2 linked regions of the Arabidopsis thaliana genome follow. The protein of the gene in region 2 interacts with the protein of the main gene of each other region in a biochemical or structural test. Each region holds a gene or a part of one and is shown on either strand. Other genes may lie near its edges.

Region 1 (8,817 bases), on a different chromosome or scaffold from region 2:
AAGAACTCCGTTAAGATTCATCTAGAGAAGCAGAGACTTCCACCTGGAAAATCAAGGAGAAAGAGTTACTTGAAGGTCAAGAAATATGTAGCCTGCAGGACTGATAAAGATGCTCAGATAAAGTTGAGCCTGTACGACCCTTACGAGTTCCATCTTGTGAACCCTAACCGGCAGTCTTAGTTAAGGAACTTGGCCGGTTACAAGCTCTTACCTAGTGGTAATGCTGCAAGTTTACTCGATAATGATGATCCGCCACATATTAGAGGGGCTTTCACAAACAATCAGGAACTCGGTTTAAGCTCGGTTGGTTTGACAGGTTCAACAAACTTGATGTATAATCGATGAAAGTTTTTGGTTTAAATATAGGTGACTCGGTATAACCGGTCAGAGAAATGGGCTGGAGGGCTTTTGATGTACCAGAACCGTGGTGAAGATACGCCACAGGTTTGGTCAGACAGGTACCCACTTAAGTAGTAAATTGCTACTGAATTGGTTAATTGACTAAAAGCTTTTACAAGTCATGTTACTTTGTATACTTAAACAAGCTAAAATTAAATTTCTTTTTCATCCTTCTGGAACCACCATAAGGTCATTATGGCCAGAAATGTATGATCTTTGGTGATTTTTATTTATCCAGCGTTATAAATTATCCACCCATTAAGAAAGAACAAATTGATTCACATGAAATCGTTAGACAATAATAAGGATAGATCAAAGCCATCCTTCGACTAAAAAACCCTTTATACCTTCAACATACCTATAACGAAGGGAAGTCAATCATAACAAAAAGAACAGAATGATCCATACCAAAAAGAAGCTCTATGATATAATACTAAGAAAAAGCAAACACCTTAACCTCAACGCAATAATCTACCATCAAAACAATAACGGGAACAAACAATAGATCAAAGCTATATATCCGGCAAGTCAAAATTCCTCTGCATTTCTCGCATTTCACACATACCTATTCAAAAAGAGCTACCATCACAAACATAAAAAAAAGTCAGAGAAGCCTCCAACAATAAGAAGTCAGAATACAAAGGGAAACATATAACTGCACTGTTTATTAACAATTGTCTTGTGAATTCGTGTTATACCGTTACTTAATAACAATTATAAACTATAAAATATAATTTTTCTTTAAATAGATACAAGTTGTAAACCTTAATATATACTAACGTTAAAATCGCCTAGACCAACGTTTGGACATCAATATAGAATATCAGGTTACATCAATGTATCAAATTCAATATGAAATATCAAGATACCATAACAATAATACAGAAATATCAAATTCAATATGAAAATCTGATTTTTGCTTTACTATTAGCAGAAAATTCATGATCTGGACATAAGTAGTTAGTAGATTAGCCTAAGTTAGTAAAAATTAAGTTACAAACCTAAAAAACAAATTTGTCACAAAACTAGAATTTTTTTATTTTTTGGAATACGGGTTAAATCTTTAATTTATTATTTTTAGCACCACTTATCAAATCAGTCTGATTAGAAAAGATTATATAAAATCAAAAAATATTTTGTGGTATAGTGCTACTTAATAATAATTGTAAACTATAAAAATAATTGATGACAATTATATAAATTTTTTAAAAATCGTAAAATCAACGCAATTGGCGGGAAATTTTTCTACAAAAATTTTCTACTAAATTACGGAAAAACCGTAAAATCATTCTCAATCGTCTACTAATATTTATTGTCTAACCATTTTCTTTCTTGTGTTATAATTTTGAAATGTGATAAAATAAAGAGAATTTATAATAAATGATTATAGATTTGAAAAGAATGTACAAACTAACCTTGAGTCACAGTAGCTTGTCGGAAACATATTGGAGAACACATGTAATTACATAAATATCCTTTGTAACATGTTTTTTTTCCGAAATACATGCGATAACATAATATCTCTTTTTATCTTGTTATTTTCTCTTATTACATAGTATTTATAAAAAGCACATGGTATTTTATGGAAAAAACATTCTATTCAGTTTAATATCTCTTTTTATCATGATATTTTGTAGTAATACACATTTTTTATTAAGATCACACGTGATTTCTTTAAAAATATATTCTTATTTTTTAGTAATACACGGTTTTATTAAAATCACATATAAATTTTTTTTAAGGATTATGTTCATGTAAGAAAATTTCATAATAATGTTTTTTCTTAAAAATTCATGACGTTTTTTTAAATAGCATGTTTTAAAACTAAATATAACATGTGAAATTTTAATGTTACATGTTATTTTGAAAAATTACACGAATGTGTTTCGTTTACAGTTCATCTTACAACAAATGAAAGGTAGCTTTGTTATTTCATTTCTTCCGACAACATGGGTCCATGGTTATTTTGTAACAAAAAACTTTCTCTCTACTAGTTTCTTAATTTGTATGTTTTATTTGGTTATCTAATATTACCCTAAAATAAACTTAGCAAATAGAAAATGAATTTTATCAAATTGCCTACACCAATGTTTGGATATCAATGTATAATATCAGGTTACATCAATATATATCATACCAAGATACCATAACAATAATACAAAAATATCAAATTCAAAACTATTAGCAGAAAGTTCATGATCTGGACATAAGTAGTTAGTAGATTAGCCTAAAATAGTAAAAACTAAGTTGCAAACCTAAAAAACAAATTTCTCCCAAAACTAGAATTTCTTAATTTTTTGGTCTGAGAAATTAAAAGAGAAAGACGTTTAGGAGGGCAAAATCGTCAATTCAAAAATACCTCATTTTACCTGTAGCTGGTGAGATCTCATTTTATAAAGGAGAAGGAACATTCACTCTCACGCGCTTCAACTTTCTCCAGAAACAAGAAAATATCACAGCAAAAATTTTCTCGAGAAAATCCGAAGAAGACAAAAAAAATGGCGGATCAGCTAACCGATGACCAGATCTCCGAGTTCAAGGAAGCTTTTAGCCTATTCGACAAAGACGGAGATGGTCTCTTCTTCTTCTTCTTCTTCTTCTTCTTCTCTCAGATCTCTTTCTCTTGTCGTTTTTTTTTTAGATTTCTTCGCGGTGATCGTGAATCTCTGCACATTTCGTTTATTGTTTCATGTGATTTGAAGAACGATCTCGTTTTGATTCGTTCAGTCTTGCTCACATCTCCAGAGTGTTTAGGGTTGATTTTTGCTTCTATAGAAGGATCTAGAATATGTAGAATCTCCTTTAGTATATTCGTTGATGATTACTAAGATTTGTAGTTATGGAATCTTGTTTAATTAGGTTATTCATCATATTCTAGATCCTACATTGGAATCGTACATTGGAATCTAGTTGTTTCTCTGTGATTTACTATGATTCTGAACAAATCCTGTGATTATAATCATGCGGATTTGTACGTTCTCACAAAATTTAGTGGCATTGTGGTTTTAAGATTCAATTGTAACATGTAGATTTATCTGCAGATGTTTATACTCAAAATCTAAAAAACGAAATTTGGTTTATTGTGTGATGTTGCCAAATAGAAAAATAGAGAAAGAAGTTGATAATATCATCTCTGTTGTTCTTCTTTACAATAGTTGAGAACTTGCAACGGTGTGCATTTTGTGATGCTTATTGGCAATACCATCATATTTAGAACATTGTGCATTTCCTGGCCTTTGATTAGAAAGAGGCTTTAAATGTTGCTTGGTGGTTTGTGTGCAAAAAGTTTCTTTGTTAACTTGGTAGATGTTTCCCGAACAATCAGTTTTACTTGTCGTATACTATGATTGGGGTTTAAGAGTATTTTACTAAGAGCATTTTTGAGCTTTCTTGTGAGAATAGGTGCATTTCCTGGCCTTTGATTACTAAGAGAATAACATCATATTTAGAACATTGTGCATTTCCTGGCCTTTGATTACTAAGAGAATACCATCATATTTAGAACATTGTGCATTTCCTGGCCTTTGATTAGAAAGAGGCTTTAAATGTTGCTTGGTGGTTTGTGTGCAAGAAGTTTCTTTGTTAACTTGGTAGATGATTTCCGAACAATCAGTTTTACTTGTCGAATCGTCGTCCTTTTAAATGAGATATACTATGATTGGGGTTAGTAGTGTAAGGATATTTTACTAAGAGCATTTTTGAGCTTTCTTGCATTTGAAAACTTGACATATTACTTGTGTTTAAGATAATTGGTTTATATATCTTCCTGATCTTGTTGACAATATTAGTGTTCATAAAGTTATACTCGGAACTCTTGCGTTACAAAATCTGAAGTTGTGTCCAATTTTGGTTTGATTGCAGGTTGTATCACCACAAAGGAGCTTGGGACTGTGATGAGATCACTTGGGCAGAACCCGACAGAAGCCGAGCTCCAGGACATGATCAACGAAGTGGATGCAGACGGGAACGGGACAATAGATTTCCCAGAGTTCCTGAACCTAATGGCACGTAAGATGAAAGACACTGATTCAGAGGAAGAGCTTAAGGAAGCCTTCAGGGTTTTTGACAAGGACCAGAACGGTTTCATCTCGGCGGCTGAGCTTCGTCACGTGATGACAAATCTTGGGGAGAAGTTGACGGATGAGGAAGTCGATGAGATGATCCGAGAGGCTGACGTCGATGGTGATGGTCAGATCAACTATGAAGAGTTCGTCAAAGTCATGATGGCAAAGTGAGATTCTTCTTATCCCTCGAAATCCTAAGCATGTTTTTCTTTTACATCTTTAAAACTGAGAAAAGTAATTTATTGAACCAAAAGAAACAGAGAGATTTGCTTCCTTGTTTGTTTTGTTGATCGTGATTTTTTGGTAACGTTGCTTCTTCTTTGCCTTTTGGTTTTGTTATTGTCCGTGACGTTTGAACTCATAATTTGCTTTAGTCTCTCGAGTCATGACCACTTGATGATGTTATTTTCTCTTTTCTCTAAAATATTGCAGTTTATTGAGATCGACTAATTATATCCATTACGTGGAGAAATAATTGCTTACTAGTTGCAAAAACGTGCACTGTAATTGTTTAAAATTTAGTGTCTTTGCAAGAACAAAGTAGTAGTAAAAGTTCTTGGGATCAAACATTTTCTATTTCAAATACCCACTTAAGGCCCAATGGTATGGTTGATAAGGCTGTTAAGGTTGTGAGGGTTTATTAGCTGATGAAGGCCTATCTTGTGAGTAATAGTACTGTCAAACTACTCCATCTTGTGTGGTTCTCCCCTAGATTATATTTGAAAAAAAACTAATTTATCTACGTATAGACATTTTTCTTACTATAACATTAGCTCTAATTTGAATTTGATATTTGGATTTATAATACACATAAACGTATATAATAGTTTGTTCTATATGTTTTTTATTTAATTTTATTTTATATGTTTATTTAATTATAGATATAAATTTTCCTCAATTGTTTAATTTTTTTCTATATTAAAATTGAATTATATTTTATTTTATGCAAAATCAACTTTTAGTATTTACAAGTTAGTCATTAAAGTTATATTTATAACAATTATTATAATTTCCACTATACTAGTCATAGACTCATAGTTCTAGTATTAGTATCAACTATATACTAATAGAACCATAAATTTGTTTGTTTTTTGTTTTTTTAATAAATCTTATCGACTGATCCGGTCGGCCCGTATAAACTATAAGTTTGTTTTTATAGAGTTTTTCTAATTTAGTTATTGTCAATTTAACATTCAAGCTCATTAAGTTTTCTTTAGTAATATGTAAGACTCTTTTTATGCAATTCAGTTCATATATCTCTCTTCTCTTTTTTTTTTTTTTGTGACGAACTAAGAAACAAAAAAGAATTGACATTTTACAGTTAATTCTATTATCTTCTTCATTTCTAAACCCCAAAGAAAGAAGGAACCAACTACTCGGTTTTTATTGTTTCTTGTTCTCAGTCATGTTTGGGAATGCGCAAGTAAATTGATAAAGAAAAGGAAGAAGAAGAAGAAGAAAAAGAAAAAGAAGAAGACCAAAAATGCTAAAAGGAATGAGAAAGAATTGATCCAGCATAACCCCTCACAGCCCGAGTCACATCGCGTTCCTAGCCGTTTGAATCTCCTCTGCCACCGCTCTCATTCTTGCTCGATTCTATAGCTCACTGTACTTGCTGATCAAGAACTAACTTAAAACAATGAAGACGAAGAATAGTGAAAGCTAATAGTAGATAACTTGCATATATCGAGGGATTGTTTAAAAAACATAATAATAACCTTGTATATAGGCTACGTAATGGCATAAAGAAAAGATTGGTTGGTGGATTACCATGCGAGCCGCTGGTAGAGGACTAACAATTATGTACTTGGATTCAAACCATTTAGTTTAGTCCTAAGAAAAAAAATTAAGTTACCAAGTTTATCTCTAGGAATTTAGAATTTTAACAGTTTTATAGATTTATATTCATCTTGTAAACGATAAACGATAAACAAAACCAGTAGTGTCTCCAACCGCCGAAATGTTAACAATTAAACGATAAACATAGATTTTTTTTTCTATGATCAATTTTAGAAAAATAAAATTTACAAACAAGTATTTTAATTATTAAACTTTGAGAGAATGAAATGTAATAAAGAAAAGAAAAAAAAATTAGAAAATTTTTTTTGACCCACGTCTCCCTCTCAAATGCTCTCTTTCTCTTTATTTAAATCTGTTACACCTCTCTTTCTCTCTCACCAAACAAAAACTTTTTCGAATATTTTAGTAATTATAAATAGTAATTGTACTACTTCTCCAATTAAGTTACGGAAATGTACTGTTTTCTAAACAAACTCAAAGAAAAAGGTTAAAAAAATTAAAGAAACAAAAACTATAACACACTAAACAGTCTTGTAACAACTGAGAGATAAAAGTAGAAAAACAAATGAGTTAAAATCTATCAAAATGTTTAACCATATATAATGTCATGATAATATCTCGTAAGTCACTCGCATGTAATATCAACATCATCTTTACTGTCATGGAAGATTTTATTGCTCAACACTTAGTGACCAAGACTTAATATACTATTGCTGCTACTCCATATTGTAGATTTTATTATTCTTGAATGGTTTTTTGTTTAAAACTAGAAAAAGACTGGACAAGTCTTCATTACGAGAATCAGTGTGTTGGTGATGATGTATTGGATTATGTTCCCATTTCCTTCGCATCGAAAGACGATATGGCAAAATAAAGATCGAGAGTAATGGTGTTTATATACCATTCCACAAGAAACTACATCAAGAATTAAGTTAAACTATAGTAAGATATATAATTGAATTCTTTACCAAATATCGACATTGTTATATAATTGAATAACATAGGAATTTCTAAAAGTTTTCCATCAACATAGGATAATAATAATAAAAATAACTTATGATATATCAAGAACAACAAACCCATTTTATTTCAATTATAATATCAAATGAAAAATAAATTTTTTCACACCAACTACTTCCTTAAGCATTACAACATTTCTTATTATTTTGGTTAACTTACATAAATAGAGCATATGATTTAGACTATCAATAACCATAGAAAAACTCATGGACCTTTATGATCTGAGTGACTCGATCAAATATCTTCAGCGGGTCAGGTAAAGATTTCGAGATAGCGGGTCGGGTTAAGCATTTACGGATCCAGTCCATTAGCTTGGGAGTGTGGTCCTCGACACTAAAACCACCAATAGTCTCCCATGTGTGGAACCAAGGGTAGTAGGAGATGAGAACCAAGTCCACCATCGAAACGTTGTCGTTTCCTCCGAAGTAGACCTTATCTCCAAGCTCTCTTTCTAACACTTTCAATATCTCTATGAACTCTTGTTTCGCTTCTTCTTGTTCTTTGCCCCTCTTTGTCCACGTTCTTCTTCCAGCGTCAAAAACCTGTTTATATTTTTGTATATGAATCACAATGAAATTGAACTTTTAGTCTCCTTTCGTTGAACTTTTTATATACACACCATAACATTTAATATTATGAAGTATTTAGTAGATTGTATTTGTTATTCTTAAGTATCGTCCAAAAATGTAACGTTTTAAGAAAGTCTAGTAGTACCTTTTTGTCAATCAAATCAGCCCAAAATCTACACTGTGACTTCTGATAAGGATCAGAAGGTAGTAGACGGAGAGTCTTATCGTCTTTCCAGACCTCATCGATGTATTCGACTATGATATTGGACTCGCATACCGGTTTACCGTTGTGGATGAGAACCGGAATTTTCTTGTTAACCGGGTTGCTTTGGAGCAATAGATCGGTCTTCTGACCAAACACATCTTCTTCCTTGTACTCGAACTTGATCTCTTTCTCCTCTAATGCCATGATCACTCTTGCTCCGAACATGCTTGGCCAGAAGTTCAACACCACCACTTCTTCTTCTGACATCCTTTTTTTTTTGATCTTCTTCTTTTTTTTTGGTTTTCAATGACTTTTCTTTTGGTGAAATGAACTTGGTGGAGATCAAAGCCCTTTTATGGCTCTTAACTTATAAGGGCAGTTGACAAAAAATATAAAAAATAATAATCATATAAAGGTGGATCAATAATGATTATGATTTAATATTTTTTTTGTGATGCATGTGAGGTAATGTTGTTTAATCCAATAGATTATAGATAACTTCGTTTGATACGTCATGAGTCGCAAGTGGTTCTTTTTTTTCTTTTCTGTTTTTAACTGTAGTGACTTGTCCATTTATAATCGGCGTTATATGAAAGAAAAAGCAATATTTTCAAGACATATATATGTTGTTGATAAACAATGTTGCAAGTGAAATACGACAACGTTGAACTGCTACAATTCAGAAAAATAAATCAATCAATATTTTTTTCCATTGCTGTTTATCATTTTGATTAATTTCTCATAAATTATAAGAAGAAAA
Region 2 (7,477 bases):
AACAATCTGTGATTCATCTTTTGGAATAGAAAAACCTACCGTTAAAATTATTGTATAATCTATTGTTTCATGTGTTTACTTTAATTATGGAATTGGGAAGTTACCTTTTACCATTTAACTTTGAGATTAAGGATCTGTATTTAGGATAAATATAGAATTCTTAATTAATAGTCGTTAATCACAAAAAGAGAAAAATATAGATACATTTTTTATAATTTTCTTTTTGAAAACTACATTTAATTGTATAGTCATAATACTGACAACACTCTCTTAGCGTAATTCTAGCTCTCAGGTTTTTGAGAATCCATATTCAAACAGAGAGAAGTAAAGATTTGAATAATAATTTTTTCATATAAACGTATAAAGAAAGCTTAAATAAATAAGAAACTAAACTAATAGGGTGTTATTGGTTTATGATTTCAAAAGAGTTTTAGTGACTTAAAATGTCATGTAGAATATGTTGCTATTCAATTAAAAAATTTTAAAGTTTGTTAAAATTTTGTGTTATTTATTTAAGATTTGTAAAAAATAATCTAAAATCTTCATAAATCTGGAGCTATTAGATGCATACTTTTATAAAGTGAGTAAATCTTTTATGTTATTCAATTAAAATAAAAGAATCTCTCATTGTAATGAATTAAATTATTATGTTATTGGTTTATAACTTTCTACATTTTTTTTCATGACAAAATAAAGTCATAAAAGTCATGAAAAATATTATCAAAAGATAGAAATTGTTTGAGATACTTTACAAGAATATGAAAAACTAATCACAAGATTATAAAAAAACTCTCTAATTCCCTCTTCACTATCTTTCTAAGTTTCCTTCTCCACAAAAAGAAAAAAAAAAGAACAAAGCAAAACAAACCTTAAAGAACAGAAATGTAATCGAAACAACAACTAAAGAAAACGAAACGGATCTCACGTCTCGAACCACGAAACCACTGTTCGTGCTAGAGGAAGTATTAACGAAGAGATTACCCGCATAAGATGACTCTGAATCGCCGGAGAGATCCGACTGAAGTCTTTAAGCCCGTCCATGATCTGTTTCTTTTAATGGTAAGATTTTTATGGAGTGAAACAAGTATAATAGTGAAACAAGTATAATGGAGAACGAAGAAAAACAAGTGTTTTCTTTGTTTGAGAGAGTAACGAGTCTTTTGTTAGACAATAATACCCTTTGTGACCTATGTCGATGTCGCATTGCATGAGTTGAAATTTGGCCGCAAAAAAAGCAAATTTGATTTTCCACGAAACGAACCTTTAAGAGCCATCCACTTCAAGATTTTTCAAGGTTATTGTTGGAGTTGTTTTGTCGAGAAGCAAATGAAATATCTTGAAAGAGATGAGTCAGCAACTGGTCAAATTGCAAACCAACGTTGGTTAACGAGCAAACCGGAATGAAGAACCCAAATCCAATGTCATATGATCAAATATCTCTTGACCAGAGTAGTTCCTTGCTGTTTCCTAGAAAAAAAAAGGAACTAATGCAAGAATTTACGGTTCCAATTTCCCTAGTTCTTTTAAAAAATCAAACAAAGAAAAAACAGAGATGTAATTGTTTTATTCAAATATTTTGTTCTCGTTTTTGGCTTCATTTCCTTCTGTTACATCTATTAAGTATTAACAGAACTTCTAGGGGTTGGTTCATGTTTTGCATTTCTGGCCAGTGATTTTTAATTTTCTTTTCTTTTAGATCCTTTTGCAAGTTGCAATCATGTTATCATGGATTGCAAAAGGAGTGTATCAAAAACCCAATTGAAAATGCTACACACGTTAATGTGCTAATCCTAGATTGCCTTGGACCAGAAGTCAGAACATATGCAAGTATATAACTAGTATTGTCTCCATCGTCGGTTTGTCGGATGGATTCAAACTTAAGATCGGGTCATGAGCTCCGAGGTCTAGACTCTATGCAAAACATAACGTCGTTTTTAAAGTGAGAAGGAAAATCTGATGTATATTCCTTGCCATTTGCCGTACCACAACATTCTATTGGGAACAAATTTTGACAAAAAGCTCCAACCAGACGTTTGACAAAAGGCTAAACGCCATTTATTTGCAATTTTCAAATCCACGTTTCACGAGAATGCAGGTTTTTACACACTTATCATGGAAATTGCAAGTTATTTTTCGATTACAACTTCCAAGCAATAGCAAATGTTGCAACTGTGAGAATCTGAAATGCACACATTTTAGAAAATTTAAACAGGATTATCATTTTCCTACATTATTCTTAGCTTGGTAAGATGCAATCAGTAGAACCAAACTCTTAAAGAACAAAAGTTTATGAAAAGAAGAACAACACTCGAGTCATTTACAATCTGAAGATGGTACTTGTGCAGAAGTGAAACAAGCAGATCCTTTTTAGTGGAAACATGTCTGGTCACCAATAGAGAGTGCTAACAAGTAATATCTTCAAAGTGGCCACACACGATAACAACCATAAAGTTAAATTTACTTTACATCCCCTCAGTTTCTCCTTTTCTTCTTCTTCTCTTCTTTATCTGCTGAGTTCTTCAACTGCATAACAAAAGAGTCCGTCAATGACGGTTTACTAACAAATAAAGTGTACCATTTTCTTATACCAGCGACAAATGAACTTACCATTATGATGAGAATCCGAACAAACACAGCTACAAAGTCAGTGAAAAGGGTCAACGAATGTTTTACATAGTCCATGTCACCGAGGTGTGCCTTTTCTATAATCTCTTGTGTGTCCACCACCATGTATCCCACAAAGATCAAAAGTCCAAAGTACAACTGCAACCAGAGACGTATTCATAACAATGGTGAGATGTCTGAGAAAGTAAGACAAAGAACAGATCATTCTAAAACAGAGGCATTCGGTTTACCTCAAACTTAAAGATAGATGCAGAGCCACCAAAGATTGAAGAGGCAAACTGGAGCCACATTAGCATAGACAAGCCAGATGAAAGCAGTCCTCCAAGGTAGAGATACTCCCTGCGTCTTGCTAACATTGCTGCTGCTGAGAAACAGACAAACGCTATCGCAGTTCCAACAAATGCAGTGATAAGGATGCTGGAGAACCAAAAGAAAGATATAAAGGTCAGCTCCTAGAATAGTCTAACAGAAAATTAACATTGAACAACAAGAATCAAATTGCATAACCATAACACACCTTGGGTCAACATCAATTGCCACTTTGATCAAGGGGCCAACAGAAGCACCTTCAAGAACAGCAGACACAAACAGAAGAGAAAGCCTTTTTTGCTGCATCAAAACAAACAACAATGTCAGGAAAACGAAACTTTAGTACAATAAGAAAGCAGCCAATTCACTATTGGGTTGGGTAAATCGAGCCCACGTACGTGTTCATAAGGAGGACATGAAAGGAGCCAAATCATAGTTCCAATACATCCAATCGTTGTAAGAATACCGCCGATATTCCAGAGCACATGGAGGTAAGCTCCAAAGGCAGACGCCACAAGAGCACAACATAAGGTCAAATAAACCTACAAAGATTCCACCACAAATAATAAGAACCAATGAGCATTTGTAACATGAGTGAGTATACAAATCACATTCCCTTCTGCAAATGGAACATGACAAATGAACAAGAGGATCTTAACAATAATAAGCAGAGTAAAGTATAACGAAAGATCTCCACAGAATCATAATCAAGTAAGTATCAACAAACTAAATCATGGAAAGACCCAATTAGAAACCCTAGATAAAGTACGATCGCAACGATTCGTTCAACGGAAACCAAATCATAGAAATTAGATGAAATATAGAAACATAGAGCGATCAATAGCACGAAAACGAAACGAATCTCAATCTATCGACTCTAATCTAGACATCGCGGTTTGGTGTGTGATATGAATAGACATCGGCGGCGAAGAAACTTACCCGTTTAAGATGATTCTGAACGGCTGGAGAAATCTGACGGAAGTTTTTAAGAGAATCATAGCTCCAGCTTCTGCTACCAGGTTGAGAATCGAAGAAGGAAGAGAACGCATCCATTGTTTCGTTTTTTTTGCTTGACTTTGAGAATCGATTAATGAAAATATTAGTTAGAAAATAAAGACTTTCGTTATTTATAATGGGCCTTATGATTGGGGACTAAATTGACAATAATACCCTTACTGCTTATGTGTAGTTATTACGCATTCGCTACACGTGTAGGGGCATTAAACACGGAGAAGGGTAGTTCTGGAAACTTCTTGAACGTTGAGATCGTCGTCGTCGTAATGAGTTGAAACTTTGCCGCGAAGCAAATGAAATATCTAAATCGTCATCTAACCAATAAGAATCATCCACGTGGATTTTTCACTTAGTTTACATATTATTGTTTAAGCTTAGGAATAAATTTGTTTTAGTTTTGTGATAAAGTATTTTGGATAACAGTATTTATTAATTTACAAAGACTTTTCTATAATCTTTCTCTATTATTTTCAGTTGCATCAAAAGTTTAACAAACTAATAAAGAAAAGACCAAGGACATTTTCATATCGTCTAGTCAATTCGTAAATCATGGGTCGAGAGTATGGTTAAATGTCAGGTTTTGAATTCTAGTTCTATATGGGCTGATCGCAAAGCCCATTAACAGTCTCGTTTATCTTTCTATTTTTGCTTACAGAAAACATCACGTAGTTTCTTCCTTAAACTGAATTAAAAAAGGAAAACGACATACAATCCAAGTTTCTAACGATAACAACATCTCTTTCACTTCCTTCATAGCTCATTTCAAACCACACATTCAAACTAACTCTGCAAAAAAAAAAAAAACTCAGAGCAGAGGAGATCGAGAGAGACAAAGAGAGAGAGAGAGAGAGAGAGAGATCTTAACAAAAAAATGTCTATATCCATGGCGTTATTCTCTCCGCCGATCTCTTCCTCACTTCAGAACCCTAATCTCATCCCCAAGATCTCAACCTCTCTTCTCTCCACCAAGCGTTTCTCTCTAATCTCCGTCCCTAGAGCTTCCTCCGACAATGGTACGACTTCCCCCGTCGTGGAGATTCCGAAGCCTGCTTCTGTGGCTGTAGAGGAAGTTCCAGTTAAATCTCCAGCCGAAAGCTCCTCCGCTTCTGAAAACGGCGCCGTTGGAGGTGAAGCGACTGATTCGAGTACTGAGACGGTAATCAAATATCAGAATGCGAAGTGGGTTAATGGAACTTGGGATCTGAAACAGTTCGAGAAAGATGGCAAAACTGATTGGGATTCTGTTATCGTTTCTGGTTAGATCCTTTTAAAACTTCAGTTCAGTACAGATTCTTTGAATACTTGATATATGTCTATGCTTTGTTATTAGGAAGATTCTGCTTTGGTTTCTTATAGTGGTGTGTAAGAAGAGGAGTGTTTGTTGTGTAAATGTGTTGATTATGTATTTTTATAGAGGCAAAGAGGAGAAAATGGCTTGAAGATAACCCGGAAACAACGAGTAACGACGAGCTTGTTGTCTTCGATACTTCGATTATTCCATGGTGGGCATGGATGAAGAGATACCATCTACCTGAAGCTGAACTTCTCAATGGTGATTTTCAAAACACTTATGATCTAACACTTAGATATAGTACACTTAACATTTTGTGCATCTAAGTTGTTGTCTTGGTGGTGTAGGTCGTGCTGCGATGATAGGGTTCTTCATGGCTTACTTTGTTGATAGTCTTACCGGAGTAGGACTTGTTGATCAAATGGGAAATTTCTTCTGCAAAACACTCTTGTTTGTGGCTGTAGCTGGAGTTCTCTTCATCCGTAAGAATGAAGATTTAGACAAACTTAAGGATCTGTTCGATGAGACTACGTTATATGACAAACAATGGCAAGCTGCATGGAAAGAGCCAGATTCATCAACAGTTTCTTCAAAGAAGTGAACAAGTTCTTACAATCTTTCATTTTCCTTTTTTTGTTATGCAATAATCTGTGAATCAGTGAAAGTTTATCTCTACTGAACTACTGATCTTCAGATTTTGTAATCTTTCTGCTTTAAAAATCTCTATGAAGTAGTCTCAAAGATAATGTATCGAAGGTCTTTGACTTGTAAAGCAGACCTATTTCGTTTTGACGCTTGATAATTTAATCAATAAGAGATTTTATTTTTTTTAATATGCTTTCTACTGTTAATACATCATCAAATAGTAGCGTTTCCAGATGGATGTTTGTGAAAAGTCATCAAGTAAGTCATATTTGTGAATTAATCAAAACCGCACTTCATCAACCAACCAACCAACCTCCAAAGAATTTGGGCTTCAGTACTAACGTCCTTTAAGGGTGTAACACATTACTGCTCTGCTCTTATTGCCGCAACTAATTTGACTCAATTTTAAGTACAAAATGGACCATTAAACTGTTGTCACTTGTCAGGACCACCGGCCCAAAATTAGTAGGGACCTTAGGACAGTTTGATATTAGTCTTTTAGTAAAAAAAAAGTTTTTTTTGTTTATCTATAAGAAAATACAATATTTTTTTAATAGATCTTAATTTTCTAAAATATCAACAGTCTATGTTTATTTTTGTGTCTGATTTAAAAAAAATTAGTTAGTTATCAAAACTTAAAACAAAAATATTAGGTCCAGGACTTTGGCATCTCCCACTTTCTTGAAAAACATGGATACTGTATGGACCTTCTTGTTTACTATTGTCATAATCTTTTTTCTCATAATCTTTTTACTATACTCATAATCTCTCCTCCTCATAATACATCTCCCACTTTCTTAACACCTCATAAGTCTTCTCATAATCTTTTTACTATCATAAAAGTTTCTGCTTGTATTGGAATGAAAGAATTTGACCATTTAATTTGGAATTCTAAACCCAATATAAAATTATAAACCACTCTTACTAGAGCCAGGATCCCAGTTTCAAATTTAATATACGTAACATGCATGATTTGGCCATGTCTTATGGATATGCTAATCCATTTCTTTTTTTTAGGCGAACATTATATAGTTTACATTATTGGATTGTTGGATGGCGTACGTACTTAATTAGTTTCAAAATTTGATAATATACATGATTAGATCATGTCTTATGGTTTATATAAAAGTAATTATGTTAATCCATAATTCTTATTTAGACCGCCTTTATACTATTGGATTTTTGTTTGTCCTACGTGATTGATTAGACTACTAAAATGTGACCAGAATTATTATAATTCTTCGTTTATCCCAAAAGGTATATGACCCATATTGAAATTATTATCAAACACACTCTACATGAATCTTGAATATATAGATAAATACAGTAATTAGTCCCCTTGCTAGTTGGGTTATCATATTAATATTTATTTATTGCAAGATCTTGAAGACTATGAGATCTTGACATCTGTATGGATTATGAAAATGAAAGATCCAATTTGAAAATTATATCTTATACAAATAAATATCATTCTTAGTATCTTTTGAGTATGTTAAATCTTGACTCTACAAGTACTAGTTACCTCTCTACACTTTTTTTTTCTTACAGTTATAAACTTACATAAAAACAAAATTCGAGTCTAAATATTTTTCT

What was found.
Region 1: the proteins of BI1 (region 2) and CAM7 interact in far-western blotting, tested with the Arabidopsis thaliana proteins (one study listed by BioGRID).

The regions. Positions count from the first base shown.
Region 1 is NC_003074.8:15,660,436-15,669,252, reverse strand, and holds CAM7 (calmodulin 7), read left to right. Parts: upstream 1-2,783; 5' UTR 2,784-2,897; coding exon 2,898-2,973; exon of another isoform or gene 2,974-3,619; intron 3,620-3,772; exon of another isoform or gene 3,773-4,260; coding exon 4,261-4,630; coding exon of another isoform or gene 4,631-4,634; exon of another isoform or gene 4,635-5,121; intron 5,122-5,866; coding exon 5,867-6,065; 3' UTR 6,066-6,253; downstream 6,254-8,817. Other genes in the region: GSTU27 (glutathione S-transferase tau 27), read right to left, coding at 7,469-7,825, 7,998-8,324. UniProt on the Arabidopsis thaliana protein: Calmodulin mediates the control of a large number of enzymes, ion channels and other proteins by Ca(2+). Among the enzymes to be stimulated by the calmodulin-Ca(2+) complex are a number of protein kinases and phosphatases. Activates MPK8 in vitro.
Region 2 is NC_003076.8:19,132,581-19,140,057, reverse strand, and holds BI1 (BAX inhibitor 1), read right to left. Parts: upstream 4,107-7,477; 5' UTR 3,988-4,106; coding exon 3,874-3,987; intron 3,477-3,873; coding exon 3,333-3,476; intron 3,235-3,332; coding exon 3,143-3,234; intron 3,043-3,142; coding exon 2,856-3,042; intron 2,764-2,855; coding exon 2,608-2,763; intron 2,524-2,607; coding exon 2,473-2,523; 3' UTR 2,033-2,472; downstream 1-2,032. Other genes in the region: AT5G47130 (Bax inhibitor-1 family protein), read right to left, coding at 982-1,041; LIL3:2 (Chlorophyll A-B binding family protein), read left to right, coding at 4,820-5,204, 5,363-5,500, 5,587-5,840. UniProt on the Arabidopsis thaliana protein: Suppressor of apoptosis. Modulator of endoplasmic reticulum stress-mediated programmed cell death. Involved in methyl jasmonate-induced leaf senescence through regulating cytoplasmic calcium level.